Kluyveromyces lactis: one gene and its partners. The protein of the gene in region 2 purifies or fractionates together with the protein of the main gene of each other region. This does not show direct contact. Links are inferred from orthologs where the notes say so. Each region holds a gene or a part of one and is shown on either strand. Other genes may lie near its edges.

The links.
Region 1: the proteins of AIM23 (region 2) and RSM25 purify together in Saccharomyces cerevisiae (affinity purification with mass spectrometry; 3 studies listed by BioGRID). This does not show direct contact. The link is inferred for Kluyveromyces lactis from reciprocal best matches to the Saccharomyces cerevisiae genes AIM23 and RSM25.
Region 3: the proteins of AIM23 (region 2) and RSM23 purify together in Saccharomyces cerevisiae (affinity purification with mass spectrometry; 3 studies listed by BioGRID). This does not show direct contact. The link is inferred for Kluyveromyces lactis from reciprocal best matches to the Saccharomyces cerevisiae genes AIM23 and RSM23.

What each region holds. Positions count from the first base shown.
Region 1 is NC_006041.1:743,763-746,471, forward strand, and holds RSM25 (mitochondrial 37S ribosomal protein mS23), read left to right. Parts: upstream 1-1,382; coding exon 1,383-2,168; downstream 2,169-2,709. Other genes in the region: rRNA-binding ribosome biosynthesis protein UTP25, read left to right, coding at 1-418; KSH1 (Ksh1p), read right to left, coding at 761-979; EFM6 (putative protein-lysine N-methyltransferase), read right to left, coding at 2,404-2,709. UniProt on the Saccharomyces cerevisiae protein: Component of the mitochondrial ribosome (mitoribosome), a dedicated translation machinery responsible for the synthesis of mitochondrial genome-encoded proteins, including at least some of the essential transmembrane subunits of the mitochondrial respiratory chain.
Region 2 is NC_006041.1:1,376,552-1,379,729, forward strand, and holds AIM23 (Aim23p), read left to right. Parts: upstream 1-1,547; coding exon 1,548-2,591; downstream 2,592-3,178. Other genes in the region: URA2 (bifunctional carbamoylphosphate synthetase/aspartate transcarbamylase), read left to right, coding at 1-876; KLLA0_E15401g (uncharacterized protein), read right to left, coding at 2,697-3,178.
Region 3 is NC_006038.1:197,347-200,665, reverse strand, and holds RSM23 (mitochondrial 37S ribosomal protein mS29), read left to right. Parts: upstream 1-1,508; coding exon 1,509-2,816; downstream 2,817-3,319. Other genes in the region: pseudouridine synthase PUS1, read left to right, coding at 1-1,152; CEG1 (mRNA guanylyltransferase), read right to left, coding at 2,925-3,319.

The DNA of each region.
Region 1 (2,709 bases), about 630 kb from region 2:
TCCTGATTATACCGATTTCATCCGTGTTAGAAACTATTTGAAAGAAAAAACTACAATCATATTCGGAGAAATCAACGAGTACTCTAACCAGAAACAATTGACATCCAATAGAGCAAGATTCCAACACGGAAAGGTGAAGGTCTTGTTATACACAGAAAGATTGCACCACTTTAGAAGGTACGAAATAAAAAACGTCAAGAGTGTAATTTTCTACAAGCCTCCGGGAAATCCTGAATTCTATTCTGAAGTTGTTCGCAATATTGGTAAGAACGTATTTTTAGGCAACTGTGATATCAACATTTCAACTGTCAGATGCATATATAGTAAGATGGACGGTCTTTCTCTAGAGAGAGTCGTAGGATCTAAACGCGCGGCAGTATTGGCTCATGGCCAAAACGAAGTGTACGAGTTTAAATAGAGTGGATCAAATATGCCATAAATAATTAGTAAACCGAAAACTTACGCAATCGTTCTCCTTTACTAATAGCTTAGAGTATTAAAATATGTTGCACTTTTCAACTTCTTTGTTTGTTGTAGAATTTTGAAACTCAAAGTCAGATTCAAAGAGTACATATTAATTCTTAATTATTTGATGCAAAGAGACAAGCCCGCAAACGAATCCAATAGCCGCCCGATAATAGATTAAACTAATTTTATACTTAAAATATAATTCTATAGACCTCAGAGCCGGTCAAACTTGCTAATGAGAGCTTTCACCTATAGCAATTGTGACTTATCTTTATCTTTTCCCTTGGGTTTATCAACTGTTGAATTGCGAAACTGCCATGGCAATGCAAGCTAAAGACACATAAGGACTAGCTCTTTCCCCAATTCTCGCAAACTTCCAAAATACTCCTAGTATACCGCTGTCCTTATAACGATCAAGGAGCGATGGTCTTTGTGCATGAATATATGTGCACGAACATATGAACAATAGTATAACTTGTAACAATGATTTAAAATTGAATAGGGCAGACATGTTTTTCAGAAAAGCTAGTGACCGTGAATATTCTGCCGAAGAAAATATCTACTCTGAACCTTTCAAAACAGGAACGAGATGAAACCTAAGGTTCATCAGTTATCATTCCACTGTATTGAAAAGAATAAAGGAACTTACGCTCCCCATACACTTAGCTCTTCGATCTTTAATTTTGGTGAAAAATGTTTACTCTTCACGTGATCTAAAAATTGAATGCTTCTACTTAGAAAAATTTGAAAAATCTGATCGACGATCCAAAATGAAATTATAGTGAAAAGTTGAAAAGTTCACAAATATGCTGTATGAACAGCTCCAGGACAACAAGTATTGGATCGATTGCTTGAACCTGCGAGTTTACTGAGATAGTATAGAGTAAACGGGCCATATAAACGTCAGATATAAAATGAAGGTTCAGCAAGAAGCCGTTAATGTACTAGAACGTACATCCGCCTATTTGAAGTCTGGTATTTTGAAGAAGACTCCAGCTTGGTACAATGTTATAGCGAAGGTACCACCAACAAAGAAGTTTGCTAGAACCCCACAACTGACACATCCTATGAACGGTAAATCTAGAACTGCACTACCTGATTACAGCAATTGGAAGGCCAATTCTTCAGGATTATACAAAACTAGACCAAATTCTTTGGAAAAGAAAGATGGTGCATCGAAGCTATATCAGTCCCCAAAATTAGTATATATCGAGGATAAATTGAGAAAATTGTTCTTCCAGCAACATCCATGGGAACTTTCAAGACCTAAGATTCTTGTTGAGAATACCCTAGAGACTCAAGAATATGACTGGTCTCATATCCAACAACTAGGCAAGCCATTGGATGGCGAATCAGTTGTACAAAGGACGCTTTTCCTATTAAAATCAGGAGAGAAAAAAGAACTCATTGATGCATATGATCAAGCTAGATTCGAGTTCTACCGTCTAAGAATACAACAAGAAATTCAAGATCAAGTTGCTCAAGAAGAAGCCGAAATGTTCGGTTCAGTCTTCCATACCACTTCAATAGAATACGGAATTGCTAAGGAACAAAAGGTCATTGACACATGGAAGAGAAAGGCCTTACAGCAAGCTGAGTTGATGGCTGCCAGAGCAAGTAGTCCTTCTGCTTCCTGGACAAACGAGACCGAAGAAGAACAAAAACCTATTGATCAAGATGTTGAGGAAATTCAACTATGATCTTCCACAATTAAACACAACCAATGAACACTATTCCCGTCAGAACTCTGAGTTTTACTGTCATTATTGTATAAAAATTTCATGTATATATAAGTCACTATAACTATAAAGTTACTCATAGTTAATTCACGAATTGAAAGTACTTTCATGAGCATCACAAAAAGCATAAAAGATCAAACTAAATGGGGTGTCTTTGCATTTGACAAACGTCAGTTGTCACCCTACTACTATTTTTTTATTTCTCCCTCATAAGCTGAAACAAATGAGTTCTCTGTTTCAAATATTTATCGAAGTTAATAAAATCTCGTATCTCTACAATTTTAAAGTTCTTCTTGATCTTTTGGAAGAAATGTTTGTCCGCTTTACGCCTTTTCTTGTATGCCATTAGAATAATTGGCACATTCTCCCCATCAGTTAATTCTAACAGTGTTTTTTCCAATAATGGGAAAGCAGCTTCTAAGTACACACAGTCCGCAGCTAGCACTAAATCAACCGGTTTCTTGACAAATACATCCGGCAAGGGATTCCCCCACCATAACAC
Region 2 (3,178 bases):
TTCCATGCTCTCTTCGCAGTTGCTCAAGAGCTCAGAGCTGGTGTTGAAAGGGAAGGTGTTTTGGACGTCATGAAGAGCCGTGTTTTGACTACAATGTTCTACGAACCATCAACCCGTACATCATCTTCATTCATTGCTGCTATGGAACGTTTAGGTGGTAGAACTGTCAACATTAACACTTCTGCATCTTCTGTTAAGAAGGGTGAAACATTGCAAGATACCATCAGAACATTAGCCTGTTACTCTGATGCAATTGTCTTGAGACATCCAGACGAAATGTCTGCCCACATTGCTGCCAAGTACTCACCTGTTCCTATCATCAACGGTGGTAACGGTTCTCGTGAACATCCAACTCAAGCCTTCTTGGATCTATTCACTATTCGTGAAGAATTGGGTACTGTCAACGGTATCACTGTTACCTTTATGGGTGACTTGAAGTTCGGTAGACCAGTTCACTCCTTGTGTCGTTTGCTACAACATTACCAAGTTAGAATTAACTTGATCGCTCCTAAGGAATTGAGGTTGCCTAATGCCTTGCGTAAAGAATTGCAAGATTCTGGCTTATTAGGTATTGAAAGTGAAACACTAACACCTGAAATCATTTCCAAATCCGATGTGTTGTACTGTACAAGAGTGCAACAAGAAAGGTTCGAAACCGAGGAAGATTACTTGAAGCTCAAGGACACTTACATTGTTGACAATAAGATCTTGTCTCATGCTAAACAACAGATGGTGGTCATGCACCCACTACCTCGTGTTAATGAGATTCGTGAAGAGGTTGACTACGATCATCGTGCAGCTTACTTCAGACAAATGAGATATGGTTTGTTTGTCAGAATGGCATTGTTAGCCATGGTTATGGGTGTTGAATTATAAAGGAGCTAAACAGATTCGCGTTCGGAACTTTTTTCAGAATCAATCCAAAATCAAACAAAATAATTTAAACATGGAAGTAAATCGTTCATTTTACTTTAAATTCATCAGAAGGAATTCCTTAAACTAAGAAAACTCTTTTTTTGTGGGGACTTGAAAAGAGATATTTAATCGGAGGAAGAAAACTGATGAAATATGACTAAACTACCTTCATCTGTACCATAGTAATACAAGGACTTTCATAGTAGGAAAATAACTTCCTTAAAATTACAAAGTGACTTTTATCTATTGCACTTTCTATTCTTTGAAATGCTCAAAATTTCAGATACAATTAGTATATTTTGACATATATATCATTTTGTCGTACATATATAGTTCAAAGGTTTATCCTTACATTCACATCTGCATCGTTTAATACATTAATATTTCGCATCGACTTTATTTTCATTCTATTGTTCTCTTTTGTTTGAACCTATTCAGCTGTCAGTCTCTAGGCAAAACCAGCAACATATTAGTAAAAATGATCACGTGACAGATATCAACGCTTTCCCTTCTCTGTCAGAATATCTCAAAATCTTAATATGAAAGACAGTTGTATTTTTTTGATTTGATTAAGTTCAAGTCATCTCCGATGATAGAATTGCCTTGAAATGTGGTACGTTGGGCTGAAATAAATGAAGTACCACTATATACAGATGCTCAGAACTACTTTTAAATACAGCATTTCTTCAATACGTTTATTTTGCAATAATCGGGTTCTCCAGAACGAATCAAGGGCTGTATCGGATCTTCTTTTTAACCTACCAACATACAATCCAGCGACACATCGAAAGAGCGGTAACAATTCTCCACATAAAAATCGTGATAAACACCGCCATAGAAACGGTAATAAAGATCAACGGAATAAAAAACTTGTTTTCAGATGGAATAGTGGAACAGAGAAACAGCAGGCAGCTGCCAACTCGGTGCTAGAGGAAATACTAGCAATAAATTCAAAGGGTAACATCAAGGCAATCAATCCAGAAACTAGCAAGCTAGAAGAAGCCAATATTAGGAACTTTTTGAAGGGCGTTAACCTTGAGATAAATGGGATAGCTATGGTGAGTATCGATAATGCTGCGTCCGGAGATGTTCGTCTACCCATTGTCAAAGAAGTGCCAACAAGACAGGCATTAAAGAATTATTCCGACAAACTATCTAAAATTAAAGAAGAAGAACTTATAAAATTGGGTGTCAATATAAAGAAAACTGGCCGTCGCTCTCCAGACTCGAAAGCGGATTCATCTTGGAAATCAATCAAGGTTTCATGGCAAATATCGGATTATGATTTGAAAAAACAGAAATGTAGTGAAATTGTTTCTAATTTGGAAAAAGGTAGCAAGATTGCTCTTTTCATTAATGATAAAGACTCTTCTAACTTGTCACCTATAGATGAGGAGGAATTAGAAGCGATGCAGGAATCTTCTATTTCTAAAAAGGAAATGAAAAGAAGGGAAGAGGTTTTGGAGAAGCTAAACGAAATAATCAGCGAATATTCATCACAGATTACACAAGAAGGTTTGATCAATCAAAGAATAATTATGAAAGTAACTCCAAATCTTGTAAATACTAATAATGGAGTTGATAAAAAAGCTCTCAAGGAGCAACGGAAACGGGAAAGGCAGGAAAAGCTGCAACGCAGAATTGAGAAGAAAAAAACCAGCGATTCCACCGAATAACCAGGAAATATCTCGGACGATAGACGTTATAATGGCATATGTATCTTGTAAATATTGATAATTAGCGTACATATATCGAAAAATTTCACGTAATTGTGATGTATTCTAATGAATCAATAATGCTCCGATTAGCGAAAGGTCATGTAAGTCACCGTAGCCAAATTGTGGAATGGAAACTAATAAGTCATCTAATGGGGACTCAGCCAAATTGGAGCCGAAATTAGACCAACCCTTTTTCTTTTGCTCGGGGTTAACGAATTCAAGGTGTTTTAAAGCGGTTATGAGCAAATGTTTGGATCTCCAAAGTTCAACTGTTCTCTTCATTTCTGACATAGAGACACTCCAGATAGCACCAGCGCCATTAAAACTGCCCGGAGAAGAAAGAAATAGCCTTTTCCGGGAGTGTGAGAAGTGAACACCCTTACCAAACTCAATAGAGGACTTGACAGTGTTAAGGTCAACTAATGTGTCAAGTTCCAATATTAACCAGACCTCTAGTGCAGAGTTGCCAGCATCTTTGAATATGTAGACCTTATTGAAGAGCAACTGTGATATTGCAATATAATCTACTTGATCATGAGTCCATA
Region 3 (3,319 bases), on a different chromosome or scaffold from region 2:
AAGTTAATCATCGAAGATCCCGAAGTCAAAGAAAAAATCAACAACGAATTGCCGGATCAGATTAGAGTTTGGGACATTTCCCGTGTCAACAAGGCATTCGACTGTCGGAAAATGTGTAGCTCTAGATGGTACGAGTATCTGTTACCAACTTATTCACTGATTGGCCCAAAACCGTCTACTTATTTATACAACGAGATTGAAGCTAGCAAGAAGGAAATACCGAATGTTATCCAAGATGATGTAGAAAGTGCACAATTCTGGGAAGCATTCTCTACTGAGGCTGAATCTAAGTTTACCAAGGAGGAATTGGAAGAGATTGCAGCTTTTGTCATGCCGAAAGATTCTTTTGATGAAAACAATGAAACTTATCAAAAGAGCAAAGCATTCAAGAAACTCGAAGCAGAACACAAGAGAGCCTACAGAATTTCAAAAGAACGTTTAGATAGATTCAGAAGTGCATTAAAACAATACGAGGGTACTTTTAACTTCCATAATTTCACCTTGGGGAAAGATTTCAACGATCCGAGCGCCAAGAGATTCATGAAGCAAATCACAGTCTCAGAACCGTTTGTTATTGGTGAAGCTAAGACGGAATGGGTATCGATCAAAATCCACGGTCAATCGTTTATGTTACATCAAATTCGTAAGATGATATCTATGGCAACTTTGATCACAAGATGTTTCAGTCCATTGGAAAGAATTAGGCAGGCATACGGTCAAGAAAAAATCAATATTCCAAAAGCCCCTGCTTTAGGTTTATTATTGGAAGCCCCGGTTTATGATGGTTACAACACTAGATTACAAGAATTCGGATATGATCCGATTGACTTCAGTAAATATCAAAGCGAAATGGATACGTTCAAGATGAAACATATCTACGATAAAATTTACCTTGAAGAAGTCAATGAAAACGTCTTCAACGCCTTTTTTTCGTACATCGACACCTTCAACCCTTCATATAATATTAGCCAAGAACAACAGCAGCTGAAGGGGCAAGAACTACAGCAACCCTCTCAAGCAGTGGAACTTGTTACCGAAGATTTGGAACAAAAGGCTCCATCAGATCCTACTCCATCCGACGAAAAGGGCAAAAAACCACAAAGGCCAATCTTTGATTTCCTCACAGCAAGAGGTATCCAACTACAGGATTAAGATCTTCTGTCCGACACCATTTATAGCATTGCGTGTTTCGTTCTTCCCTTTAATAGATATACTTCCATAGTTCTTAGTGTTTTCACGTGACACGTATATTTTATTTTCTCTTAAGCTTTAATGATTTCAATATCTGAAAAATTTTCGAAATTTGAACTACTTCAGTAGCAGGCAGACTTCAAGTGACATAGATAAAGAATAACAGAACTACGTGAAATAATCCACTTTAATAAGTCAATTTGTGTTGGTTTTAAGAATAATTACAGAAGTGTGATTTAGTAAAAAAGAAGCTATATTAGTGAGACGGATTTCACTTCTTTTTAGAGATATCCGGACCCGTAAGATATATTTCGATCATGTTGAGAATACATACCAGACAGTTCTCCTGCAGTGCTGCAGTAGAGGCTGCAGCTAAGAAGAAAGCCCAAGGGTTCGCTAAGGCTCAATCAGGAACTAAGGCAGCAGCCAAAAGAATTACTCCTGGTTCCATGTATAAGAGATGGCAACCAGCTGTTGCAACGGCTAATTTACATAAAAATGCAACTTTTGTCGATCTGCCCATGTTTAATCCTAATAACATCAGTGCCGCAGATGTCCATTCTTTCTCAGAGCAGCAATTACAATTCTTGTATCGTCTGGGTTCATTCAAGCAAAATCAATTCAATGAATTGTTCACACGTCCAATATCACTAGTTAGAGATTCCACCACTAGAAAATTGTACGAAGCCTTACGGAAGTCAGAAAACAAAAAGCTTGTTCTAACAGGTGAACCAGGTGTGGGTAAGTCTACTCTACTGGCCCAGCTACATGCTCACGCACTAGAAAACAAGGGACTTGTGTTAACTGTTTCCAACTCCGAACTTCTTACAAATGGTAGAAATGACTTCTTCTTGGATGAAGACAGATACATTCAACCAATGTACATCAAGAACTTATTAACCAAATTTGTCAAATCCAACAAAAAAGAATTATTGCAATCCATTAAACTCTCCAAAGACTATAAATTAGTTCACTCTGGGGGTAAAGACCTATCTGTGAAGAGAAATGTGAATTTATCTGCAGGTAAATCCACGTTATACGATTTACTAAGTGTCAAGGCACCATCTCGTCACCGTGGAGCCGTTTTCGATGCATTCATTAAAGAATTAACTAACCAAACTGATCATCCGGTCTATTTCACTGTTGATAACTTCTCCCATCTTTTGACTACACCATTCACAGCATATAAAGACACAAGCAACAAAAATATTCATATTTTAAAATTCCAGGTTGGTCAATCTATTTTTGATTTAGTCTCTGGCGATTTGCAATTCGCTGCTAAGGACAGCTGTGTTGTTTTGGCTACTTCGGGTTTGGATAGAACCAATAGAACGTTATCAATTGGTTTGCAAAAGCTTCCTCACGATCCATATTTGACCAGATACCACTATGAACAAATTTTGGCCGAAAAGTTACTAAAGGGTAAAGTACAGGAGTTCGAAGTTACCAAACTTAATAAAGATGAAGTTGCCAAATTGATGGAGTTCTACCAAAAGGCGGGTATCGTACTTGACAAAGATTTACAGAACAAAACCTTCGAACAGCTTACCGAAGAAAAGTACTTCTTAAGTGGTAATGGTAATCCAAGGGAATTGCTCAAGAGTATTACACTATATCCATTCTAATTGTACATATTATATATTACAAAAAAACCCATGTAAATACAGGAAAGAAATATAATATGAGCACATATGCTCGTGTATATGTTATGCTTTTAACTTGACGCAAGATTCTTAAATCTTCTGTCTTTTTGTGTCTGGCTCGTCATCAGACCAATTATCATCGTCATCGTCTACATATTTTGGTTGATCTTGCGACTGCTCTGGTTCGGTTGAATGTTGCTGCGACAGCGACGATCTCGCAGAAGCCTGATGGTTGAATTGTTTTTGTGCATTTTTCAGTCCTTGTTCACGTTCTTTCCAGCGAGATCTCATTTCATCTACCACTTGTTCTAGATCATCCAATGAAACAGAATCACCGATACTTTCCAAGACTTTTTGAACGACTGATACGTGATTACCATTGAGTTTATCGTCTCTGAACCTAAGTAGTTTCCATGCACCTGATTCCTGATCTTTGGAACATTCTACAATTCTTCCGTTCAATGGCTCCTCCATGGCCTTGAGCT